2 linked regions of the Canis lupus familiaris genome follow. The protein of the gene in region 1 purifies or fractionates together with the protein of each later gene. This does not show direct contact. Links are inferred from orthologs where the notes say so. Each region holds a gene or a part of one and is shown in the gene's direction. Other genes may lie near its edges.

The links. Proteins that work in one complex are often made in the same cells at the same time.
Region 2: the proteins of HSPA12B (region 1) and EEF2K purify together in Homo sapiens (affinity purification with mass spectrometry; 3 studies listed by BioGRID and IntAct, with this or other methods). This does not show direct contact. The link is inferred for Canis lupus familiaris from reciprocal best matches to the Homo sapiens genes HSPA12B and EEF2K.

Annotation. Positions count from the first base shown.
Region 1 is NC_049245.1:18,055,027-18,059,713, reverse strand, and holds part of HSPA12B (heat shock 70 kDa protein 12B), read left to right. Parts: intron 1-1,737; coding exon 1,738-1,912; intron 1,913-3,106; coding exon 3,107-3,193; intron 3,194-3,619; coding exon 3,620-3,724; intron 3,725-3,840; coding exon 3,841-4,099; intron 4,100-4,596; coding exon 4,597-4,687.
Region 2 is NC_049227.1:23,623,606-23,628,292, reverse strand, and holds part of EEF2K (eukaryotic elongation factor 2 kinase), read left to right. Parts: intron 1-219; coding exon 220-280; intron 281-2,264; coding exon 2,265-2,302; intron 2,303-2,676; coding exon 2,677-2,848; intron 2,849-4,687. UniProt on the Homo sapiens protein: Threonine kinase that regulates protein synthesis by controlling the rate of peptide chain elongation.

The DNA of each region.
Region 1 (4,687 bases):
ACCTCTGGCCTTCTCCTCCTGAGCACACTGGATGGTTGTTGCCCCCAGGAGAGGGTGTGAGTCTGCAGGAACAGAGAGCAGGGGGACAAGAGGCACAGCCAAGCCAGCTTAGCCGGTGTCTTAAGTCAGGTTCCCTAGAAGCAGAGCCCAAGACAGGGACTCTTGTGCACGTGGTATATTGAAGAAGGGCTCTCAGGAGAAAGGAATGAGGGAAATGGACAGGATAAAGACCCGAGCAGGAATGTGGTCTCAACTGGAGTCTAGCCTCAGCCAGGTCCCATGGAGAGTGCTAGAGGGAGAACTGTACCCAGCAGTTGACCACAGTGAGGCAAGGCACCTGGCTTTCTGTATATCCATCAGTCTGTCTTGGTTGCTGGGGGGTGTGTGGGAAACTTCTCCAAGTGAGATGGTTTCCTCCACCTCAGCCAGCACCAGTATTGTCAGGGACTCCACCACCATGCCTCAACCACTGTAATTTCTTGAGCAAGGGACACAGGACTATGAGACGATGAAGGAAAGTGATTTGGACCAAAGCTGGGCTTCCTACCATAAGAGATGCCCAAAGGTCTGGAGAATGGGGGGAAGGGTGGACAAGTCAAGTCCCCCTACCTCCAGTGAGATGGAGTGAGGAAGTAAGGAAGCACAACCTCCCAGAGCAAGACCCATTGTTTGGTCCTTGGGGGACATCCTAGGACCTCCAAAAGGCCTGCCAGTGCACCCCCTGGAAGATATCAGAGCTCCCAACCCCCACCCACCATGGGCCAGGTATGCTCCAGGTGTCAGATCTGTGTGTGCCTGCACTTATAGGAGCTCACCCTGAGGTAGTGGGCATCCCTACTGCAGAGACCAGGATGAAAGCAAGGCTGTGCCCAGCCAGGATAAGCACTGCCCCCCACCCTGCCGGTTTATCCACCCTGGTTCCTCCCACACTGTTCCATGGCTGCCAGTTCAGGAAGGGCTGACCCTGGACAGGAAGTCTAGATACCCACCCATCCCCAACCCCCACCCAGTCAGAATCCAGGGAATCCCACAAAACTGTAGAGTACTTCCCACAGGGATCCCCTGTCCTGATACAGGAAGCAGAAGATCCCGAGTGTTTTTCTCCCCCCAACTGACCTGTCCTGGCACCTGGAATTTTACTGTTGTCTCTTGGTGCCTGTATCTGATTCTCTGGGGAAGCAAGTTCTTCTGGGAGTGAGGAGGCCTATGGGTATTCTCTGCCAACCAGCCTGGTGAAGGACATGAAGGACAAAGGTTCAGGGAGCCAAAGGGGACCCCCCACACATACCATCTCCTCTAATTGGGGGTCTGGCCATTACACCCCCATACACACTGTGCTAGAGTCTGGGCTAACACTTCAGTTGGTGCTCAGCTGGCCAGCCCTGCACATGTGAAGGGGACCTTGCTGCAGCCTGGGCCACCTTAGGCAGCTTGGAGGGACAGAGCCCAGGTGCTCTAGGTTTCTCACTCTGTCTAGGGTCTCTTCCTCCTGGGTAACCCCATGGCATTCCTGGCAGTGGCGGTGCCACTCCCCAGCCTGGTCACAGGGTGGCTGGGAGGCAGTTCCACATGTGTGCAGCACTGGGGGGAGGGGGCGGCGAGAGGCCCACCATGGGTGGGGTGTGATGGAGAGGTGGTGGGAGCCCCACAGGCCCTGGTTGCCTGCCCAGAGGTGCCAGCTTAGGTGTGACACTTGACCCATAGAGCTCCCTGGCCCTGCCCACCACCTCTCCCCAGGCTGGCCTGGTGTCCAGGGAGGATGCAGAGCAACTACTCATCGCCCTGGAGCCAGAGGCTGCCTCTGTCTACTGCCGCAAGCTGCGTCTACACCAGCTCTTGGACCTAAGCAGCCGGGCTCCAGGCAGTGGACGCCTGGGTGAGCGTCGCTCCATCGATTCCAGCTTCCGGCAGGGTGAGCTTCCCCCAGGGGCACTACCCAATGGTATTACATTTGCCCTTGGAGGGTTGGAGGGTCACTGAGGCCAGAGGCTTGGCCATGTCCAACATAAAGAGGAGATAACCCCTCCTCCCCCGTCTCCAGCCCAATCTGAGAGGGCAGAAACATCTCTGGTGCAATTCAGTCTGAGGGAGGAGGCACAGCCCTGACCTGGGGAAGCCCAATCTGAGGACAGAGATTTCATGTTGCCCTGGAGGATCATTGTCTGAGGAGGGTAGGACTCAGCGCCCATCCTGAATCTGAGGGTAGGGGGAAACAAACTGTCCTGAGGGGAGGTGCTCAGGTACTGACAATGAGGAAGTCAGCTCCCATTCTTTTTTTTTTTTTTTTTAAGATTTTTTTTTTAATTTATTTATTCATGATAGTCACACAGAGAGAGAGAGAGAGAGAGAGAGAGAGAGAGAGAGAGAGAGGCAGAGACACAGGCAGAGGGAGAAGCAGGCTCCATGCACCGGGAGCCCGATGTGGGATTCGATCCCGGGTCTCCAGGATCGCGCCCTGGGCCAAAGGCAGGCGCCAAACCGCTGCACCACCCAGGGATCCCGTCAGCTCCCATTCTGAGCCAAAGGTGGTCTCTAAGGGTTTTGTCTTAAATAGCCACTGAATCAGCCGCCTCTCCCATCCTGGCACATCAGCTGTCATTCCCCTTCCCCCACAATAGCCTTGAGCTCCTGCTACCAAGCTCCAGCTCCAGTGTCCCTGGACTGGGCCCTGAGACTGCTATGGTCAATCTTAGTCACTCTCCCAGATACCATCTCCTGTAAGTAGGAGAGGTCCCTAACGCTAGGCTCCCCTGAATCACCCAGGACCAACCTCTCCCCACCTCCCCCAGCTACGCACAGGTCCTCCAAACTGTCCCAACTCTGATTTTGCCATGCCTCAAGCCTGCCAGCGTTAAGGGAATGTACTGTAGCCAGAAAAACTTCCCCTCAGCTGTTGGTTACCCCATCAGGTTTTTCTGGACCCTCTGAGGTTCAACATTGCCTTCTCCTAGTTAGAAGTAGTAGAGCAGGAGTTTCAGGAGAACTGGCTGGTCCAGATACTCATGGAGGGTACTGGTGGGAGGATGGGGGTCAAGATTGGTAGCTGAGGCACCTCCCTCTAACCCCACTGTCCTGCTGTCCCTCCCTGCCTCCCCCCCAACCCCAGCCCGCGAGCAGCTGCGCAAGTCCCGCCACAGCCGTACATTCCTGGTGGAGTCTGGTGTTGGAGAGCTGTGGGCAGAGATGCAAGCAGGTGGGGGGACAGAGGGATGTTTCTTGGGCCCTGAGGGGAACCGTAGGGGCAAGGGAACCTTCTTGAAGTGGGTTCCAGACCCTAGAAACCCTGCCCCTACTCCTCCATCAGCTGCACCTAACCTGGTAGTCTTCCCATGGTCACCTGCACCTCCATGTCACTCAGCCTCACCCCTAACTCTCACTTCTCCGGGGGATTCTCTGCTGATAGAGTCCTGGAAACATTTTCCCCAAAACCCTTGCGCCCCTTCCCGGTGGCCTAAGTTTCAACTACCTGAAGCCCCTTACAGCCACTCCTACTCCCATCCTCCCCGCAGGCAAGGGTCTCTGGTGTGGGGCAGGGCTGGGGGCTGGGTGAATCTGGAAGGGGAGCAGAGCTGAGGGTGCAAAGCAGACCAGGAGTGTGTGCTCACGCTCGCCGCCACAGGAGACCGCTACGTGGTGGCAGACTGCGGAGGAGGCACGGTGGACCTGACGGTGCACCAGCTGGAGCAGCCACATGGCACCCTCAAGGAACTCTACAAGGCATCCGGTGAGTAAGTAGCCAGCCAGGCAGCACGCTGGGTACCCAGGGCTCGCGGGCCCTGCCACCGCCCTCTGGCGGCGGAGTCTGCGCCGACGTCCCCTTTCTCCCCTGCCCGACCCCAGGCGGCCCCTATGGCGCGGTGGGCGTGGACCTGGCCTTTGAGCAGCTGCTGGGCCGCATCTTCGGCGAGGATTTCATCACCACCTTCAAAAGGCAACGGCCGGCAGCCTGGGTGGATCTGACCATCGCCTTCGAGGCCCGCAAACGCACGGCAGGCCCGCACCGTGCAGGGGCGCTCAACATCTCCCTGCCTTTCTCCTTCATCGACTTCTACCGCAAGCAGCGAGGGCACAACGTGGAGACAGCCCTGCGCCGCAGCAGGTGGGGCCCGGGGACCACGGACTCAAACCAGGGTTTGCGGCTGGGGAAAGCCCCTGCAAGGGAGGATGTGGGTCCCACAGGACAGTGGGAATCCGCCCCATCTGCCCCGTGCACATTTCTTGCCAGCCGACAGCAGGCGGAGGGCATGAGCATCCCAGCTAGAATCCGCTAGAACCCGGGTGCCAACTGGGGCACAAATCTTGAGCCTGGAGGAAGGGCCAGTAACTTTCTCCTTGCACCACACCCACCTCGACAGCCACACACAAACACACACCCTATACCAGGCAGTGTGCCTTTGTTCCTCCGCCCAGAAGCAAAGAGAGGCTCCTCTCCTGGGACTTCATGCCTGGAACGCAGGCGGGCTGCTAAAGCCCCTGAGGGAGTGGGGTTGGAAGAACACACAATTTGCAGTCAGTACCCAGCCACACTGGCCTTCCAGGAACCCTGGAAGAACCCTGGACCCTGACCCATGAGCCTGTGCCCCCCTTCATCAACAGCGTGAACTTCGTGAAGTGGTCCTCACAGGGGATGCTCAGGATGTCTTGCGAGGCCATGAACGAGCTCTTTCAGCCCACCGTCAGTGGGATC
Region 2 (4,687 bases), on another chromosome or scaffold:
CACAGGGGCCTGCCTTTGCGGCATTATAGTCCAGTGCAGGGGACCAGATGGGGAACAAGCCCACAAGTGCCGGAGGACATGTCGGAGAGGAAGGGGCAAGAGGCCAGTGTGTGCGGACCCGAGAGGGGAGGGAGACGTCCACAGACCCTTCATGTTTAGCCAGTGGGTGACAGGATCATGTTATAGATGCTGTGCCCTCAGGGTGGCTTCTCTCTCCAGGTACAATGCTGTCACTGGGGAATGGCTGGAAGATGAAGTTCTGATCAAGATGGCATCTCAGGTGAGCCATCCCCAGCCCAGTGAGCGCAGAGCTGAGTGGGCATTCTTCCTGAATAGACTTCTATTCCTGTTCCCTCCCCTTCACACTCACTTAATTGTTTTAACTAAAGGGCATTCTTTATATTATTGTGTATTTATTTTTTAAGATTTTATTTATTTATTTGAGAAAGAGACAGAGATAATGAGAGATAGTAAGAGACAGCAGGAATGGGGAGGAGAGGGAGAAGCAGCCTCCCCACAGAGCAGGGAGCCCAATGCAAGGCTCGATCCCAGGACCCTGGGACTATGACCTGAGCCGAAGACAGATGCTTTAACCACTAAGCCACCCAGGCACCCCTGTTTTATTTGTTATAATAATTTTATTGAGATATAATTCATGTACCATACAACATACCTATCTACACTGTATGGGTTCAGTGGTTTTTGGGTTTAGAGTTGTACAACCATCACCATGATCAATATAGAACATTTCACCGTTTCTAAAAGAAATGTCATCCTTACCCACCAGTAGCCAACTACCAATCCCCAGATCTCCCCCAGCCCTAGACAACCACTAATCTAACCCGTCTCTGTAGGTTTACCTATTCTGGACATTTTATGTATTTATCATACATCAGAAGTTGAACATACCTTGGCACTCTTGTCAAAAATCCATTGACGTAGGCATCCGGTAGTTCACTTGGTTAAGCATCTGCCTTCGGCTTAGGTCATGATGCCATATCCACCTCCATGCTTAGCGGAGAGTCTGCTTTTCCCTTTCCCTCTGCTGCTCCCTCTGCTCCTGCTCGCTGTCTCTCTCTCTCTCTCTCAAAATAAATAAAATCTTTAAAAATATACCAGTTGGCTATAAATGCATATATCAGTTTTCAAAAATTGCGGTCATCACTTAAACCTGAGTCATAAAAGGATTCAGTGGCTTGTAGCCATCCTTTTGGAAAAAAAAAAAAAAAAAGAAAGAAAGAAATAGACTAGAAAATGGAGCACCTCCTGCATTGTCAGAGGCGGATGGTTTTGCAAAACTTTTTTCTCATGTATCATACACTCCAAAAAGGGTGCGGCTTGATGAACTTCATAAAGTGAACACTCTGTGTAACCAGTGGCCCCCAAAAGTCCCCCTCCACTATGGTCACTACTCCCTTACCCCTGGGGGAAGCACCAACCCGGAATCTATTGCCCTGGATTAGTTTTGCCTATTTGTGTACTTCCTATAAATGGAGCCATGCCGTATGTATACTTTTGAGTATGGCTGCTTCTCCTCAGCATTTCGTCTGTCACATTCATACTTGTTTTTGCTAGCCCTATAGTTGATAGAATAATAAAGAATAATAGAAGAGAACAACAGAATATATTCATTCTCGTTGGTGTGTAGTATTCCATCAAGTGAGTAGACCTAATTGATTTATCCATTATACTGTTGGAGGACATTCAAGTTGTTTCTACTTTTTCTTTTTCTTTTTTTTTTTTTTTAAGATTTTATTTATTTATTGGAGAGAGAGAGAGAACCAGGGGAGGGGCAGAGGGAGAGGGACAAGCAGACTCTGCACTGAGCCTGGAGCTGGACATGGGGCTCGATTCCACAACCCTGACACCATGACCTGAGCTAAAATCAAGAGTTGGATGCTTAACTGACTGAGCCACCCAGGTGCCCCTATGCTGTTTTTCTGTTATAGAAAACAGAAAAGCAGAGCTTTTCTGACATTCTTTGACATTCACTGTTACCCCTATAACACCTTCACCCCCTGAGGCCTCTTCCCCTCAGCCACGGTGCAGGGAGGGTGGTCTTGTCATCCCTGAAGCCTCCAGGCTAGAAGTTTGCTCAGGCTTTAGAGCTGAGGTGAAGGAGGGAGGGCCCAGGAATTTTAGGATTGAGATGAGGTCCAGGCACCGATTTGGTGGGTGATGTCCAAGTAGGGGAGTCTTCCTACCTCAGGACTGCTTCTGGGTAGGACATGGAGACTGATAATCGTCTGTGTGGTGTCTTTCAGCCCTTCGGCCGTGGAGCAATGAGGGAGTGCTTCAGGACGTAAGTGACTCAGCCTGGCTCTCAGGGCCCTGCCCAGACTCTCTCAGGCTCCCAAGAGTAGGGGCATTGCAACATTTCTGGCTAAGAAGCTGAGACAGCAGCCTCTACTTTTTGTAGGCCAAGCTTCTATCTGGTCTCCTTTGGACCACACATTTGCCCTGGCTGTGGGGATGGGCTCGGGGAGAACATGGGAGTATCCCATTGACCTCTGCTCTGGTGTTTGGAGGCCAAAAGATGTGGGAAAAGAGACCTTTAGCTATGTCCCTTAAGCCTCTTCCCAGCTCTTTGAAGGATACAGTGGGTCAGGCTGGGTCCCTGATGAACCCAAGTGCCCAGGCTGCTGAAGATCCTCTGCTGCTTCCCCCAAACCCCAGAAAGAAGCTCTCCAACTTTCTGCACACTCAGCAGTGGAAAGGAGCCTCCAACTACGTGGCAAAGCGGTACATTGAGTCTGTGGACAGGGATGTGTACTTTGAGGATGTGCGTCTACAGATGGAGGCCAAGCTCTGGGGAGAGGAGTATAATCGACACAAGCCCCCCAAGCAGGTGCGTGGTGCCCCTTCCTGCCACCTTCCCACACAGGGCCAGGGACTGGAGACAAGGGCAACAGTGGTTCCAGTCACAGTTTCCCTTCACGGTCTTAATAATACCTAGTAACAACCATCCTCTATTGAGCATGATGGGCCAAACACACTCTGTGCAAAGAGTCCTTTCTTCCTAAAAACAGAGCTCTGAGGCTGTTTGAGGTTAGGATGTTTTTATACCATTTACAGATGAGATCTGTTAGGATTTTTGTTTGCAGATGTTAAAAACCCACTCAAGTGGGCTCAATACTAAAAAGGAATTTATTGCCTCATGTAACTGATACATAGGGCTGGCCACAGGTATGGACAGATCCAGGACCCAACAGGATGTTGAGAATCTTCCCCCATCTCTAGCTGAGGTGTTCCTCTGTGTGGCATCACTCAGGCAGTTTCTCCACTTGTAGTGGTGTGTCGACCACTGGCACCTGCAGGCTCACTTTCTGTCTTCTCAGAAACCTTGGTGGCATGACAATACCTGTTTTCCCAGAAGTTCCAATGAAAGTCTCAGAACTGGGTTTCATTGGCTCTGACTACGTCAGGTGCCTGTTGCTGAGCCAATCACAATAGCCAGGGGAGGGAATATGCAGATTGGGTAGGCCTGAGCCATGTGCTCACCCTTAGAGGCAGCAGTGTGGGTCCTTCCCCCAGACTATGTAGCCTGAAATTGGTGGCTCCCAAGAAAAAGCAGAAGGAGGGAAGGATGGATAGCATGTCTGCCCTCTGGGAGCCCCAGGTTCAAAGGGGTTAAGTGACCTGCCTGTTTGGGAGCCAGGGTTCAAATCCAGGCATTCCAGGCCCCTGCCCAGTTGGCTCCTTCACTTGAGTCCCCAGGTTGTTTAGTGACCCTGGGGCAAGCAGAATTTCCTGTTGCTTGTAGGCATTTGAGAAACAGCACTCCTTGTCTCTGCCCTGGCCAAATTCATAGCTTAGCTCTCCCATTGTTTGAATACCTACTAGATAATAGGACACTGTCTCCTGGGCACCTCAGGAGAGCCACACTTCCAAGAATCCAGCAGAATTTATTGAGTACCTGCTGTTTGCACGGCTTTTGGTTAGGTACACTTGGGGTAGACACAAGAACCCACAGTCCCCACCCATGGGGTCTGTGACCTCCTCAGTAATTTGCTACATGCCGTTGGGCCTCCTATCTCTTCCTCCCTCAGCTTGTTCCTGCCTCAGGACCTTTGCCCTGGCTGTGCCCCTGGCCTGTATCATTGTCATTGCCTCTCTCCACCGCCCCAACCTTGCATGATTTGCTCCTTCTCATAGTTCAGGTCTCAGCTCATATGTCACCTTCTCAGCAAGGCCACCCCAGGCCATCCTAAATGGAGTAGCCCTTCTACTACTGTCCTCTGTCACGGCTGTCTGTCTATTCTAGTTTCTTTTGTTTCAAGCAGTTAGTGCTGTCCAAAGGAGACTTGTTCCTGTAGTTAATATTTTGGTTGCCTCTCTCCCCCAGGGGCAGGGATTTTATCTGTCTTGTTCACTCTATCACAGTGCCTAGGTGCTCAGTAAATAATGTGATTGGCTGAATTGAGGAAGGGAAAGGAATGTAGTTGTCCGAGGGGGAACCGGCCATCCCTCCATGGCTGCACACCTCCAGCTACCCCTCCCCCAGTGAGCCCACTGGCCAAGCAGGTGGCCCATCCATAGATTTCCTTGTAGGGATAGAGCCAGTATTGGGGGTAGGAACCTCTGAGAACCAGCTGCTCCTTCCCCTTAGGCTGGTTCTTGGAACTGAGGCCAAGTTTGGGGACGCTCTCAGCTCAGGATGTCTTCAACCTTTGCAGCTGTTGTCTGC